4 linked regions of the Saccharomyces cerevisiae S288C genome follow. The gene in region 2 interacts genetically with the main gene of each other region. Each region holds a gene or a part of one and is shown on either strand. Other genes may lie near its edges.

The links.
Region 1: mutations in PXA2 (region 2) and IRC19 together harm fitness more than expected from each alone (negative genetic interaction), as found in Saccharomyces cerevisiae (one large-scale study listed by BioGRID).
Region 3: mutations in PXA2 (region 2) and DPB3 together harm fitness more than expected from each alone (negative genetic interaction), as found in Saccharomyces cerevisiae (2 studies listed by BioGRID).
Region 4: mutations in PXA2 (region 2) and DAS2 together harm fitness more than expected from each alone (negative genetic interaction), as found in Saccharomyces cerevisiae (one large-scale study listed by BioGRID).

The regions. Positions count from the first base shown.
Region 1 is NC_001144.5:71,238-75,246, forward strand, and holds IRC19 (Irc19p), read left to right. Parts: upstream 1-2,171; coding exon 2,172-2,864; downstream 2,865-4,009. Other genes in the region: putative AAA family ATPase RIX7, read right to left, coding at 1-1,909; YLL032C (uncharacterized protein), read right to left, coding at 3,033-4,009. UniProt on the Saccharomyces cerevisiae protein: Involved in sporulation and maintenance of the mitochondrial DNA. Is probably involved in a pathway contributing to genomic integrity.
Region 2 is NC_001143.9:85,134-91,168, forward strand, and holds PXA2 (ATP-binding cassette long-chain fatty acid transporter PXA2), read right to left. Parts: upstream 3,654-6,035; coding exon 1,092-3,653; downstream 1-1,091. Other genes in the region: HYM1 (Hym1p), read left to right, coding at 1-770; FAT3 (Fat3p), read right to left, coding at 4,151-6,035.
Region 3 is NC_001134.8:758,470-761,399, forward strand, and holds DPB3 (DNA polymerase epsilon noncatalytic subunit), read left to right. Parts: upstream 1-1,824; coding exon 1,825-2,430; downstream 2,431-2,930. Other genes in the region: tyrosine/serine/threonine protein phosphatase PPS1, read right to left, coding at 1-1,574; PAF1 (Paf1p), read left to right, coding at 2,788-2,930. UniProt on the Saccharomyces cerevisiae protein: As accessory component of the DNA polymerase epsilon (DNA polymerase II) participates in chromosomal DNA replication.
Region 4 is NC_001136.10:485,246-489,252, forward strand, and holds DAS2 (putative uridine kinase DAS2), read right to left. Parts: upstream 1,200-4,007; coding exon 501-1,199; downstream 1-500. Other genes in the region: GCV1 (glycine decarboxylase subunit T), read right to left, coding at 1-120; ATP-dependent RNA helicase FAL1, read left to right, coding at 1,559-2,758; ATG31 (Atg31p), read right to left, coding at 2,827-3,417. UniProt on the Saccharomyces cerevisiae protein: Putative uridine kinase identified in a screen for mutants with increased levels of rDNA transcription.

The sequences.
Region 1 (4,009 bases), on a different chromosome or scaffold from region 2:
CGTCCAGTTCATCAAAAAATATAACACACGGTACAGACGCCCTTGCTCTAGTAAAAACTTGTCTGATGGACCTTTCTGATTCACCAACGTATTTATTTAATAATTCAGGACCTTTGATTGATATGAAATTTGCACGAGATTCATTGGCAACAGCTTTTGCTAGTAACGTTTTACCACAACCTGGTGGTCCCCACAATAAAACACCACCAGGGGCGCTAATTCCCACTTTTTCATAAAGCTCTGGTCTCTTGATGGGTTGCACAATAGCCATATTTAATTCAAGTCTAACTCTTTGCAATGCGCCTACATTAGCCCAAGTAACATCAGGTACCGTAGCGAACCCTTCTCTCTTTGCTGTTGGTTGAATTGTTGGCAACGCTTTCAAAAAATCTTCGTACTTAATCGATAATAATGATAACTGCTCTCCTGATAAAGGCTCAGGATAATTACGAATAAATTGTTGGACTACGGATAAAGGCAACGGATCGATCATATTCGCAGTGTTCTTCAGGCTAGATTCATCTCCGTTTGCTGTTTCATCAATTTCCATGTTATCTTCTGAACTGTCCGTTGCCGTAGTTGGTGTGGATTTTATATTAGCATAGGTTTGGAAAATTCTTTTAATAGCGCATGTACCGGCAGCAGTAACTAAAGCCTTTAAATCAGCGCCAACAAAGCCTGGGGTTAATTTTGCCAATTTGGCAAAATCGATAGCACCATCAATTTTTAGGTTATCAGACATTTTCTTTAAAATATGTAACCTTGAGACTTCATTCGGGACATTCAGGCATATTTCTCTATCGAATCTACCTGCTCTTCTCAATGCTGCATCCAAAGAGTCAGGTCTATTCGTGGCACCTATGATAATAACAGGTTTTCCATTTGTCTTTTCCATCGTTAATTCATCCATTGAGGTCAATAATTGGGCAACTATTCTTCTCTCCATTTCTCTTTGGGCTCCTCCATCACGTTTTGGTGTAATGGCATCTATTTCATCAAAGAAAACAAGACATGGTGCCAAGCTTCTCGCTTCATCAAACAAATCCCTAATCTTTTTCTCGCTTTCCCCAGACATACCACTTACGACTGAAGGTGCAGAAATAGATATAAATGGGACTTGTAATTCTCCAGCTAACGCATTAGCAATCGACGTCTTACCGCAACCCGGTGGGCCATGCAACAGAACACCTCTAGGTGGTTCGACACCCGTGGATAAAAATATCTCTGGATGAAGAATGGGTAGACCTATTAGTTCCATAAGTTGTGCAACGACATCATCCATACCACCTAAGGATTTCAGAGACGAATTAGGTGGAGATCTATCTTCCTTGATTTTTTGACGTTTTACCTTACATGTACCTTCTTTGGATCTTTTTTTAGATTTTTTAACCTCTTCTGTCTTAGGATCATCAGTTTCTGTTATAGACTCGGAAACAGATCCAGATTTGGACCACGTGCTAGTTATGCGTTTGTTCATCTCATTTGTGTCTCGCTCAATCATCATATTTTTCTTAGCTAGTTCTTCTTCCAAGCTTGGTTTCTCTTCCTCTTCGTTGTTGTAACCTGGGTAAGAACCAAATTCTTCCAATTCTGATTCAATCACGTCTTTTAGCATGCGGTCAATTGTCTTTTGTAAGACAACTTTCTTAACTCTTTGAAGTGATAAATCTTTAGTCAAACAAAAGGTAAAAATCTCACCTGCTGTTAAATCTTTAGCGAAAAACATGGATTCAAATATATCCTCATCTTCTTCACCCTCGTTGTTCTCGCCCTCTTCTCCTTGGGATTCTTGTCTCAGAGACCTTTTTCTGTCCAAAGTTTTTTCTTCCAAGAGACGATAGATAAGATCGACGATCTTGTTATCTAGAGAACTTGTTAATGAGTTCTTTTTCGACTTTACTTTAACCATTATTCCAGCCTTCCCACCACGTAGCTATTATCGGCCCTAATGATCTTTTATTCTAACTGACTCGCAGATTAATTCACACATCGGTTGTTAATCATTGTTTGAATTTCCAAAATATGCGATGAGCTGAATGAAAAATTTTGGAACCTGTCACTATCGACGAACATCGAAGTTTGCCATGACAACCATATATGAAGAAAGCTTATGAGACTAGCTCGAGTATATCATACGTATGCATGTTAATCGCAGTTAAGCGGATAACACAATGCGTAAGCCTTCTATTACGATAACAACAGCAAAAGCTATTATAACTCCAGACTATACTCTTATTAAATCGCATTCTAAATACCAACTTCCTTCACGTTTTCAAAAGCTAGATGCAGACTCACCTGAGAGAAGTACAGTTGTTAAGCTATTTTACCGCCGATTTATGAGGCTTAAGCCTTTCATATCGAATGTGAAAATGGTTAAAGATACTTACAGGGATTATGTTCGATATAAGTTTATGAAAGAAAACTACGAACTCAAACGATACTTGGTATTCAATCCTGATGGCTTGAGGTCGAAAATCAATCTTGAGCTTCTCAGCAACACGAAATGTTGTGAAAGGATACTCCCCGTGACTGAGATGCAAAGAACCTTGGAATTTGTTCTGAAGAGCTGTTCATACTTGCCCGAAACAAAAGTTCAAAAGTGGGATATTGCAAGGGACAACACATATTGCAGGCAAATTTTAAAGAACCTTTTAACAATGCAATATGAAAAGTACAGATCGATTTTGCATAGAGGAATAGGCCATGATGAGCTTGACGTCAAATTCTCTCATTTGAAAACTACTTCTAGTCCGCTAACTAAGCTAAATAAAACCGAAAAGAAAAAGATTCCGCTTTTCAAAGTATTTAGTGATTTCGATACAACATTGATATATCTCAATGAGACATTAGGTACAAGGTTATAAAGATCATTATCGTAAAAGAGGAGCGGAGCGGAGCTTTTTAGTATGTATGGTAAAATATCAATCAAATACTGTAATAGATGCGGATATGCGCAATGACATATTTTGTGGTGTGCATATCCATTGAAAAGGTGCGTAGAACGTTACAATACTACTGAACTTTTTTCCTTCTCATTTTCTGCCATTTTGATATTTATGCCTATTATTGGTTTGAGCTTTATTAGAGTTGGCATAATTATAATCGTACTCGTATGTATATCCGTATCCATACCCATATCCGTTGTAATAAGTGTTTGGTATATATCCTTTGATGGCTTGGGCTCCTCCTACCGTCGTTATAACAGGCATTTTGTGGCGTTGTGGTGAGGCTCCTGATTGGCTGGTATTATCGATGGTCGTACGACTTTTGGCATTATTCATTGATCTGAAATTGCCATTGGTATTGCTATTACTGGTGTTACTCTTGCTGGAGGCAGACCCTAGAACAAATTTTTTAATTATTTTTTTAAATATTATTTTCGTCTTTTGTGTTTCCAAATAATTGGATAGTAATTCGATTGCTTTTGTTAGAGTATTCTCATTAGTATCCTTTTCAAAAGTAAAAGTGATAAGGTCCTTCTCAAAAGTTACAATTATGTTCATAATTTGCAAAAATGGAACAACAATTAGGTTATAAAATTCGTATTCTTTATTGGGATCTATCTCTTGATCTATTTTGAACTCGTATTCATAACCAAACGCACTATTAACCAATTCGTTAGCGGCTCTTGATGCATTCTCATCATTTCCTTGTATACTCAATTGAGATGTTCCATCCAAGGGCTCTTTTAACGGTATCATTATGTAAACATTTTCGTTCTTTTCGATTTGTCCTATAATATTCTTTTGGCCGTTAACATGCAAAATATGTCTATATTGCCCACTAGAAAATCTAATGAGCGTCTTCGATTGTAAACTATCATATTCTTGAACAATTTGTTTTAAATCATTCTTGGCTAGGCATATATTAGCTTTGTTTTTCCTGGGGCACCTAATTATCACATTATCATACCTGATCATAGAAATTTTATTTTGTGGAAGATTGAAACTATTGGAAAACTGAATGAAGACGTTATGCTTTCTCATTGTGGCTTGAATTAAGGAACCAC
Region 2 (6,035 bases):
CTGCGGAAGTTGCTCTACAACAAAAGGGTTGCCAAGATATCTTTTTAACGGTAGGGAATATGATTATTGAATGTATCAAATACGAACAACTTTGTAGGATTATATTAAAGGACCCTCAACTATGGAAATTCTTTGAGTTTGCGAAACTGGGTAATTTCGAAATCAGTACGGAATCTTTACAAATATTAAGTGCCGCATTTACTGCACATCCTAAATTAGTGTCTAAGGAATTCTTCAGTAATGAGATTAATATCATAAGATTCATTAAATGTATTAACAAGTTAATGGCTCATGGAAGCTACGTAACGAAAAGGCAGAGCACTAAACTGTTGGCCTCATTAATTGTGATAAGATCTAACAACGCGTTGATGAATATATATATCAACTCCCCAGAAAACTTAAAGCTCATAATGACTTTAATGACTGACAAATCTAAAAACTTACAACTTGAAGCTTTCAACGTATTCAAGGTGATGGTAGCAAACCCAAGGAAGTCAAAACCTGTTTTTGACATTCTTGTTAAAAACAGAGATAAACTATTGACGTATTTTAAAACTTTCGGTTTAGATTCTCAGGATTCTACTTTTCTTGATGAAAGAGAATTCATCGTTCAAGAAATTGATTCCTTGCCGCGTATAATTTCGTCCACAACAGAAGTTTCTAATAATAATGCATCCTCAAGTAACGTCGCCAGTATAACTTCTCCATCATCAGTAATGAACAATCAATCATCCATCTTAACACATTCAACTTCACCTGATTCAAGATAACTATAAAACTTGGTTCACTTTATAAAAAATGGAAAGTTCTCAGGCAGTGGGTCGTGACATGAATATTCAAAAGTAAAATTATATATAGGAAAGTGTTTATTTGCATAAAAAGGGAAAAATAGTTCAGACTTTTGTATTTTTACGTATTTATACAAAAAAAGGTTGGTACCGGAGGCTGAGGAAGCCAGTACAGTTGGATCCGGTACATGGAATTGAGCAATCAACCGTAAATATGAGCGCTTTCTCAAGATATTAAATTATTATAAAACAATTTATTTATCCAATTTATACATGATTTGGATCCTCCTTTGGCTATGTATGTTACCTCTCCTTTCCTTCTTCCTTTTTTGTTTTAACTTTTTTGTTCAAGCTTTTATTGTTTCTTAGTAAATTTGATGATGCTGAACTAGATGGTTGGGAAAATAGTGGTAATCTCTTACTAGTCTCCTGCCCTGTAGGTGATGTGATTCGCTGCCCTTTATTTGCATTAAACAATGCATTAGATTTGGACGTTTTTGGATCTTCGATCTTTTCAAAAAGATTCAGGTTAGTTTCTGATTTACGAATGATGTTGGATTCTTTAGCAATTGTCAGATCTTTCAACTTCCGCTCCCAAAGTGGCACCTGTTGATCCAAGATGGCATTTAGTTCAAGAAGTTTTTCTTCATTACATAACCTTTCCTTCGGGTTAAACGGTCCAAATTGGTATCCGCCTTTACCATCAAATTTTAACAGATAGTTATGAAAATGCCATAAACTTGTCCTGTGGCAAACTGATATTAACGAGATACCAAAATTTTGCGCATTTTCGTACATCCTTTGTTCCATTTCTGGGGCTACTGCAGATGTACATTCGTCGAGCACAGCAAACTTGGGTTTATGATAGTACATCCTTGCCATAGCTAACCTTTGTTGGACACCAATTGTTAATTCTTCGGACCAATTTCTTACTATACTGAATGCATCACGAACTTTAATGGCGCATGGTGACTGATTGTCTTCCGTCGACAACTGCTGTGAATCATTTTTGGAAGTCCTTTGCGCCAGCAGAAGTGACATATTTTCAGTGACTAAATCCTCCAAATCTAATAATTGCAGAATTTTTATTAAATCTGCATCGCCTAGATCATAATCATTGTGATATCTTTCTTTGAATTGTTCAATACTGTCTGGATAAATAATCTGTTCCCTGAATGTCGACCTATTGCCCATATACGGCCTTTGGGGTAAATAAAATATTGCGCAATCTCTATCCACAGTTCTACGCGGCATTATTAACTTGGATTGATGATTTTTATTGGGAGTCGCCCTTATCGGCCAAAGCCCGCCTAGAATACGAAATAATGAAGATTTACCGCAACCGTTGGGCCCAATAATTAGTAGATGATTTCCATGCTTCAGATCAAAACTTAGCTCCGGTACTAGAACTTGATTGGCAGGTGTTATTAAAGGAATATTTTCAAACTTTATCCTTGAATCATCATATTCCACTATACACCTTTCATCTCTTGGTTCTTTTTCGTCATCACCTTTATTAGCATCCAACAAATCATTGAACTTGTTCAATCTCAATCTGATACCGCGTAATTGTTGTATATTTCTCTTCAGTTCCACAAATCTTCCGATAGAGCTAGATGCAGTGACTAATAATCTTCTATTTGTGATGAAATCAGCCGTCATATCATTCCCGGGTTCCTTAAGCTGTAAGGTGTCTTCACTAGGTTTGTTTTTGAAAAATATTGGAATCGAGCATAGTACCAAGCCAGCTGCGCCCCAAGTATATTTAATGACAAATGCAGTAGCAACATCATAAATAGCTCTTGCCTTTATTTCTCTGTTTAAAAATAGCACCAAACGGTAAAATGAATAATCAACGTTTTCTAGTTCCCTCTTTTGCCCTCTTAGCAGTGCAATTTCTTCATTGCTTGAATGTAGATTCGAGTGTAAAGATCTGAACCAACTTTCCAAAGATGCGCTTGCCATAGTTAACCTAGTGAAATTCGGTTGAATCAATTTTAGTAATGAATTGGAGGCGTAGACAATTAAGCCCAGTGCCAAAGTTCCTTCACCCATAACACTAGTGTTTGAGGTTAATAATTTGAATGAACAGAGGATCAAATCCAGCATTGGCTTTAATAGCTGATTCAGTAATAATGACGAGTTCATTGAAAATGTGTAAATATCTTTTGTCAAATTATCCTGAATTTCTGAAACAGATTCAGCAGAAGCTACGGAATAGAAAGTATGGTGATTAGATAGATACTTTGAGAGTAGAAAGTCTGAAACTTTCCTATTAATAGTGACAGCACAAAGTTTTGTCGTGTAACTGATCAGTGAATTAATAAAACTGGCGGGAATTCCAAGGATCATCCATTTCCCCAACAATATCTTTGTGAAGTTTGCGTATTGAGCTCTTACTAGTGTGGACACTAATTGACCATCTAAAGTAGCCACACGAAGAGACAGCAATGTTCTGATGTTCAGAAGAATAGCCTGTGTAATAAATAAAATGAGGCACTTCTTATCATGAAGCAAAAGTTTGAACAAAAAATCTACCTTTCCTTTTCGCTCTCCCCCCTTATGATTAGTCTTGCTTTCTTTATCAATTATTATTGCACCATCTTCTGAATCTGTGCTATGTTTGGAGACTATCGTTAACTCTTCTTTGCTACTTTCATCTTCCTCTCTATCTACTGCGGTTTCTTTTCCCTCTTCAATTTTCTTATTTTCTAAAACCGTTGACTCAGAATCCTTCTTATCAGTTTTGTTGTTACTAGAACTGGAATTTGAATTGTAAAGCGTGGCTAGCAACAATATTATGTATGAAGAACGCAGTAAATTTACTCTATGCTTCTGATAAAATGCAGAAGCTGTTGAGATCATTATAAAATCTTTCTTCGGTAACTTTTAATTGTATTATTATCCCTTTTGAGTCTTTTCCATATTCAAGACGAACAAAATACAGATAACAATGTTGAAGACGTTTGTTTTGTACCGGATTGAGGACAAGATGATACTTAAATATAATATTATCTTTGATCGAGCAAAGCCATCAATATCATCATCTAACATTCACTTTACTCCACATTTCATTGCCGCCCTTAATCTTTCGGAGGGTGGTAAAAACTTTACGGTGATAGTTGTAATTAACGCCGAAGGAATATACATCAAAGACGAAAGAACATTAATTGCATATATTCCAAAAATATGAATAATTACCAAATTATTATTAATTTTTGTTTTGAAATTTAAATAAAGCTATTAAATAAGGATGATGGTGTGGTATGTACTATAATTCAATATAAGAGATTAAGATAACGCTGTAAATGGTTTGGTACAATTGAAAAAAAGTGATAGAGCATTTACGAAAAAGAAAAAAATTATGCTACCAAATGTGCATTATTGTTAACAGGTCCATTTGAATCTTTTGGTGTCACGTCGGGGTGACTTAGCTCTGTTCTATTACTCGTACTACCTGTGACATCTGTATTATTGGCAGAACTACTGTTGTCGATAGCGGTTATTTCATTACGATTCACCTGTTTTTCGAAATCAGCATCATCATCATCACCCAAGTTATGGTCGCCGAAACGGTCTGCAGAAATGGCAGAACCATCCCCATACGTGTAAATTTCGCCTTTCCTATTCGTCACAGATCCGGACATGTAACGACCACTCCGTCTGTTCCTCCACCACGTATAAATTATCAATCCTGTGGCGATAAAAGACAACGCAAATGCTGTCCATATCAGCCCTGTATAGGCGGGACCGGCTTTAAACACAACACCATATTTATCATCTGCCGTACCGCTCTTTATAATGGCAATCATAACGGATATGATAATGGCTGCCAATACAGTGGCTACACCAACGCAAACGTGTAGAGCTAGGGCAATGAGCCATAATGGTTGTTTGAACATATATCTGTTAAAGTACAGTAATATAATAAAAATCATGGTAAAGAAGGAAAAGATGATCGCTAAGAGGTTCAAAGCCAAAACAGACCTCACTGCTGGCACATATTGGTGCTCTCTGTGTAAAAGTTTCCCTTCTAGGTAAAGATCGTTGGCGCTAATATTCAGGGCGTTCAGATATGGTTGGAAGTCTGATGTGACTAATGCGTCATAAATAATCGATCTAAAATCCAAGTTTTGTACAGCATGTGGGGAGTTACAATCTAGGATCTTGTTTTCCAGGTTAGCATGGCATAGCGTGAAAATGGATAAGCGATAGTAAATCGGAATTTTCAGATACTCTAGTATATTCGGCGTCATGGCGTTCAATTCTTCTGCGGAAATCGGTTGGACGGATTTGGCATCCGCTAATATATCTAAAATGGGCAAGAAGGTCTGAGGGTTTTCTTGAGCCCAGGAAGTCAGCGTCACTAAAGATGAAAATGTTGTTTTAGGATCAGTGGATGCCCCTAAAAGACTGAAGAGATATGGAATGTACTGTACGGAGCTTGAATTACCGGATAGGCCCGATTGTAATTCGGACAAGATGGACAAAGTTTCGTTGGTGTTACTCGAGGAGCTTATCACATCATCTAATCCAATTAGCTGTTGAGTAGATTGAGTTGTATTTGTCACCGCAGCTAGAGATTGGACCGAAGTGACAACCATTGTCGAGTTGTCCGAATTTTCCATCAATTGGGTTAAGGCAGCAAACGCCTTTTTTGCAGATGATGACTGAGTGAGGTTTTGTTCCAGCAAATCAGATAGAGTGCTCAATGTCTGATTTGTAGAGGTGGTCTGGTTTAGCAGCAATTCCACTGCATCAAATGCGGGGGCGCTTGCCTGCGGCACTAGTGGTTGCAAAGTACTAAACGTGTTATTTAGGGAACCTCCGTTTGAAATTGTGTTTTGTAACTGAGTTAATAGTGTTTGGGCTAAAGAAGATGAAATAGTAGTGTTCATCAAGGTCGCCAGAGCCGTCATTGTAGCTGTTTGGTTCGTGGAGAAAGCGAATAGCCTGAATACCGGTAACAATTGCGCCTTTTCTGACATTGTCAGATTATTCAGAGTTAGCAATGCATCTGTGGAATTCTGTGGGTTATCGGAGTCTTTTAATAAGTCCAGAACCAAAGTAGTTGAGTCACTGGAAGAGTTAGAGCTTGCGGAAGACAGCGAAGCAGAAACTAACCTTGAGAGGCCATCTAGTGTTTCAGTTGCGTTGTCTGAATACTTCAGCAGCCCATTAATCTCTGTCAACTGCCTCGTGCTAGAAGCAGGATTGCCGCTGATCGCTAAGGGAGCCAATTCGGTC
Region 3 (2,930 bases), on a different chromosome or scaffold from region 2:
TGGCCTAAAATTTGCAAGTCTGATGGAAAAAGGAAAAATGGTCTTGGATGGATCCTCAAAAGAGCGTCTTGTAACGGAATATTAAAGTGGAATATAATATAAGCTGTTAATAATAATGACGTTTCTGTATATCCGTCTTCGCAATACATGAACGTCAATAATTCTTGAACTTGGGATACTTGAAATATTAAATAACAAACATTCAAAAGAATTTCCACAGACTGAATGTTTAAGTTCCCCAAACCTATACTACCTGAGGCAGGGAAAGTCAAATGCAAATGCTCTTGTGATTTTGACGCATCATCGTCTAATAAAAGATCTAGATATGTTCGGATTTTCGTTAACGACGGCATTTGCGAGTTTGACGTACATTTTATGATCAATTTCCACACCTCTTTTGTATTCGGTATGTTATACAGTTGAGAAATGGAGGTTGTCGGATTGTCCGTATCATAATTTAGAGACTTTAAATTTACTATGCTTGTATTCTCTTCGAAACGGTGGGTCAGAGATATATTGTTTTTTTTAATTATTTGATAATTATGCCAATCAGTGGTGTTACCGCAAATCAACCCTGTTTCCTCCAATCGTGTAGCTGAAGTCAGCTTATTCAACTCTAACTTCTCGCACAAAACCATATTCTTATCAACGTTATTGAAACACACTATTTCACTAGGTGACGAACATAAATTCAAGGGAGTATTATTCTTGAAAAATTCGTTGTCTAATAAAGGTGTACCAATCAAAGTTTGAGGTATATCTGTATTGAAATTCTGATAAGTGCAAATAAAAAGATTCGTCTTGTAAAGCGATCCTCCACTCCCTACATAACCCTTTTGAACAAACATTAAACAGATCTGTAAAAGTAGTGCAAGGGTTGTACAATTGGGGCAATTTCCCTCGTGTGAGCACGCTGGCGCTGATTCTGTTTGCATATCAGTGCTGCCACCAGTCCGCGAACAATAAATTACTATATTATCAACCATTTCTATCATCTTGGCACATTGCAGGTCGAACCTTCGGAATAGACCTCTCCTTCCCCAGACGTCCTGCCCACTCCGTTTTAGCGTGGTATTAGACCCAACCTTGTTTCTAGAATACCTTTTAAGTTCTAATGATAGTCCACGAGGATCTACTTTCAGAAATGGTAAAATGCTATGATTGTGACAATAAGTAGCAGCGTTTTCCAAAGCAACATCATCCACTTGCAATTCCAATTGTCGTATCTGAAACTTTAGCAAGTTCAAAAGTTCCTTTGTGTTATTGGGATATTGAAAACCATTAGAATCATTTCCAGTTTCACAGGTATCGCCCTCTCTATGAAAGGAAGTGCGAACTTTCCAGGACTGGAAGATATCATTCACTTCGAGAGAATTACGCAAAAGCGCAGAATTGTTAGCATCTGATTGCGATTTGACTATTGCAAGAGAATGAGGAAAATCGGGTGGTTGACCAAAGGAAATATCATGAGCCCAGGGGAACATTTTTTTACATTCAGGCCATTCTGCATCCTGATGTAGTCGCATAAGATCATGCAGTTCACCAGGTGTGATTGAGGGCACTTCCAAAACCATGGTTGTTGCTCTAGTTTTCTATACCCGCCCCTTCTACCTCAATGACAATCTCTCTTTTATGGTTGGTGTTTCTTTTCACTTTTTTACTTCTTCTTGTACTTTTCTTTTTGAACCTTAAAAACTCTTGCAATTATGTTTCCATGATGCTTTTGAAGTAATAATTTATTTTTATTACGCGAAATTAATGGCCTTAACAACTGCCTGCCCCAACAGATAAAAACAAGCAAGGGTCAACCGTGTTGCAAAAAAAATGTCCAACTTAGTTAAAGAAAAAGCACCTGTCTTTCCTATATCTAAAGTAAAGAAGATTGCCAAATGCGACCCCGAATACGTAATTACATCTAATGTAGCTATATCAGCGACCGCATTCGCTGCTGAGTTATTTGTACAGAATCTCGTCGAAGAATCGCTGGTCTTAGCACAACTGAATTCGAAAGGAAAGACAAGCCTACGATTAAGCCTAAATTCTATAGAAGAATGTGTCGAAAAAAGAGATAATTTCAGGTTTCTAGAGGATGCCATTAAACAACTGAAGAAGAATAGCGCACTCGACAAGAAGAGAGAACTAAACATGCAACCGGGTCGGAGCGATCAAGAGGTTGTTATAGAAGAGCCTGAATTGCATGAGGATGATGGTGTAGAGGAAGAAGAAGAAGAAGACGAGGTATCCGAAGAAGAAGAGCCCGTACACAATGAAGAACTTCTTGATGATAGTAAAGATCAACAAAATGATAAATCCACGCGCAGTGTGGCAAGCTTGCTGTCGAGATTCCAGTATAAATCCGCACTAGACGTAGGAGAACACTCCGACTCTTCTGATATCGAAGTTGACCATACGAAAAGCACCGATCCTTAGTGTTGTTGCTATTATTGCTATGTAATTACTATTCGATGCAATATGTTATACATATACATACACGCAATGAGAACCCTAACCTTGAACTTACTATTTTAAAAGGACATCTCGAAAAAGCTTAGGGATAATTAATATTTTGTAGGTTAGAGCTGTTATGTAGGGAAGAAAAACAAGGGCTTTAAAATAATAATCACATTACACGAATAACTTAATTTGTCTTTCTGAAATGGAAAAAGAAAAAAATGACGACTGTAACATTGGATGAATTAATACTGTCATTATTGATACGTTGTTAATTATAGACAGAAATGTATTCAGTACAATAGAACAGTGCTCATAATAGTATAAAGGGTCACAATGTCCAAAAAACAGGAATATATTGCACCAATAAAATACCAAAACAGCTTGCCTGTGCCACAATTACCTCCTAAACTTCTGGTTTACCCCGAGTCTCCGGAGACGAATGCAGACTCCTCCCAACTAATCAATTCACTATACAT
Region 4 (4,007 bases), on a different chromosome or scaffold from region 2:
CATGGAATATCCTGCGTATGGTACCATTGTACCGCCTAATGACACATGAAGGTCATGAAGAGCAGTTTTTTTCAAAGTTGAGTTGAATCTCTTAAACACAATTTTTTTGATTATAGACATTATTGCTTGTGCCAGGCAAAGCTCTTTCTACATATGTGAGCTACGGGTACTGTAATTGGATTTGTTTGGGTTCAAGGTGCTATATATATGATATTTGGACCTATTCTTTTTGACATACCGTTTACTCGAGGCAACACGAGTCAGGGCTCCTGAGCAGAGTCGCCCTGCCGAAAGAAGTCACGGCGATGAACAAAATAGGTGATATCTATGACCAGCTCTAAGTAAGAACTCAGCTTCCCGTGAGCATGGTTCTAATGGAGTAAAAGCGCCCATCGAGATCCAAGAATGCAAAAAAAAAATCAATAAGCTTGTGTGGGTAAATACGGATGTTAGTCGCATCGAGCCGATTAAAAGTGGCGCAGATATAGAAGGCAAGGACCTCATGACAGATCGTAATATCTATCTTTCTCCAAGTCCATTGTTTCAGCTTCGAAATCCCATAAACGTGGGCGTATTTTGTTGTTCGTATTGTTGCCTTCTATTTGGCTTTTGGTATCTTCGATTGCTTTAACTATACCGTCCACGAGGACTGCGCGCCCTAGATTTTCATTTGTAGAAGGAATGATCAAATCTGCAAAAGTTCTAGTGGGCTCTATATATTGTTGCATCTCCGGGCGCAGATGGTCCATATACTCAGTGATCAACTGGGCTAGTTGTTCATTGCTCCCTACGTTCTTCTTCTTGATTAGACTAATTAATCTTTTATCTGCATCACTATCCAAGAATACTTTTAATTGAGATATTTCGTTGATGCGTTTATCGTATAGCGCATAACAGCCACATACTATTATCAAATCTATCGGGTCCTCGTAATCATGTTGAATCATGTCATTTTGAGAAGTTACAGCGTGCTTTTCATATACCAAATTAAGGATATTATCAAAATCATAGTCGTTATTATTGTAGCTCTTGATGTTCCCTTCTATCATATTATCTAGGTTTATTACCCTTATATTGATAGAGTTATATAGGCTTTTGAAAGTATTTTGTAAATCCAGTGCAATTGCTCCAACACCAGTAGCATGCCCTCCACCGATAGAAATAACAATTCTTTTTTCTTCGACAGCTTTTCTGTCCATTTCCTGTAATATTTATCTCGCTAATTGTTAATGCAGGAAACGAAAATTAAAAACGATTTCCCTTGTGGTATGCTCTAGGAAAAATGTACAGATAAATTGAATTATCCGTGATGGCAGCGTACAATCCATAGTTGCTTACTATTTGATCTGCTTTTTCTATCAGTGTCGAGAATTTATGCCGAAGTTTGAAAATTTTATTTTATGCGATGAGCTAGATAATAGCAGGGCCCAGACAAAATAAAAACATGAATTATACACAAATTTTAATATAAAAGGGCCACCACTCCTTCAAGAGGTATAAAAATTTGTTCACTCAAATAAAATAGACCGTACAGAAACAAAAAAAAAACTCATTAGACATGTCGTTTGACAGAGAAGAAGACCAAAAATTGAAGTTTAAAACATCGAAAAAATTAAAGGTGTCTTCTACTTTTGAAAGCATGAATCTAAAAGATGACTTACTTCGAGGAATATACTCATACGGTTTTGAAGCACCATCCTCTATCCAATCAAGGGCTATTACACAGATTATTTCGGGCAAGGACGTTATAGCACAAGCACAATCAGGTACAGGTAAGACAGCAACTTTTACAATCGGCCTTTTACAAGCTATTGATTTAAGGAAGAAAGATTTACAAGCTCTAATACTATCTCCAACACGTGAATTAGCAAGCCAAATTGGGCAAGTAGTAAAAAATCTAGGGGATTATATGAATGTCAATGCATTTGCCATTACAGGTGGTAAAACTTTGAAAGACGACCTGAAGAAAATGCAAAAGCATGGTTGCCAGGCCGTTAGCGGAACACCAGGAAGAGTATTAGACATGATTAAGAAACAAATGTTGCAAACAAGAAATGTTCAAATGTTAGTTTTAGATGAGGCTGATGAATTATTGAGTGAGACACTAGGTTTCAAGCAACAAATATACGATATTTTTGCAAAATTGCCTAAAAATTGCCAAGTTGTTGTTGTCAGCGCAACAATGAATAAGGACATTTTAGAAGTAACCAGAAAATTTATGAATGATCCAGTTAAAATCCTAGTGAAGAGGGATGAAATATCACTTGAAGGTATCAAACAATATGTCGTTAATGTTGACAAAGAAGAGTGGAAATTCGATACTCTGTGTGATATATACGATTCTTTGACCATTACACAATGTGTGATATTCTGTAACACCAAGAAAAAAGTAGATTGGTTATCTCAGCGGCTAATCCAATCAAACTTTGCTGTAGTCTCCATGCATGGTGATATGAAACAAGAAGAAAGAGATAAAGTAATGAATGATTTTAGAACAGGTCATTCTCGTGTACTGATATCGACGGATGTTTGGGCGCGCGGTATTGATGTCCAACAAGTTTCTTTAGTCATTAACTATGACCTACCAGAAATAATAGAAAATTACATCCATCGTATCGGTAGAAGTGGTCGATTTGGTAGAAAGGGTGTGGCTATAAACTTCATTACCAAAGCTGATTTAGCAAAACTTAGAGAAATTGAAAAATTCTATTCTATCAAAATAAATCCGATGCCAGCAAATTTTGCAGAATTATCATAAAATATAGAGAACATATACCTACATAAACAAGTTAAGAGAGTCTCATCCATGCGGCTTCATTTTTGCTTTCATACGGAATTGGAGAGCATTTGTAATTGTTCATTTTGTGTGACGTAGAGTTTAATTAAGTCATTCAAACTCAAATCGCGAAGAAAAGGAGACAGATCGCAAAATTGTGAAATTACATCGAGCTCAATGTCCGAGTCCACTCTGAATCTATCACTGTCAACGCTAAGTTCTTCCTCTTCATCATTAGATTTATCATCACCATGTGATGATAATGTTCTCATTTGGTTTTCCTCCAAGCTGAGACTATTTGTCCTATGTGACAAAAGCTCATATTGGTCGCTGATTAGTGTGATATCCTCAAGAGATCCCGATTCATCCAATTGGACAATTATGACATTTTCAAGTTCATCTCCGACCTTATCTATTCCTGCTGTCAAAGCAGCATCACTTGAATCTACTAGTTCATCATTGTTGTCCTCAAATATGTACTTAATGTTAGTGGGAAACATTGCATAATCACTTCCGTCCGTGCTCTTTGATTCATTATTGTATGCTGGTTGATCATCGTTGCTGGGACCCTTGTTATTTTTGATATTCTCTTCTAATCTGTACTTGACATTTTTATCATAAACAGTAACTGTAACATTCATTCCTGTTCGCAGATTTCAGCAATGTTTACCGGCTTAATAAGAAAATGGGAATGCGACGTTTATCTTGGATATTGACCACCCTTATATTATGGATATGTACTTCAAATTATTATCTTTTACGATAAAAAAGATTCTGATCCAACCGAGGTTCGAACTCGGGATCTTCGCCGTGTAAAGGCGACGTCTTGAACCACTGGACCATTGGACCGGAAACCCATTGGAAATGACTTAATCCCAATATCGCTATATTAAATGTAAAATAACTTTTTCAGGATAATCCACAAGAGTGGTGCTTCTGTCATTAAACTAATTTTTTTAAGGCCTGTTCGCCTATTATATGTCGAAAGTGTGTATTTCTTTCAAGTTATGCCTGCAATTCAAAGGACAGATTTATTTTACAGTGTCGACGACACCGTTTGAAAATGCAGATGCAGGACTGGGCACGTTTTACAATACGTATCGAGTCAAAAATACACTGATTTTGGTGATATTAGCTGCAGCATGGCGAATTTTTCACATATTACTGATAAGGATGGACATTATGTTTGACTTTTTTCCTTAGAGTAAGTATGGTCAGCAGAACAAAAAAG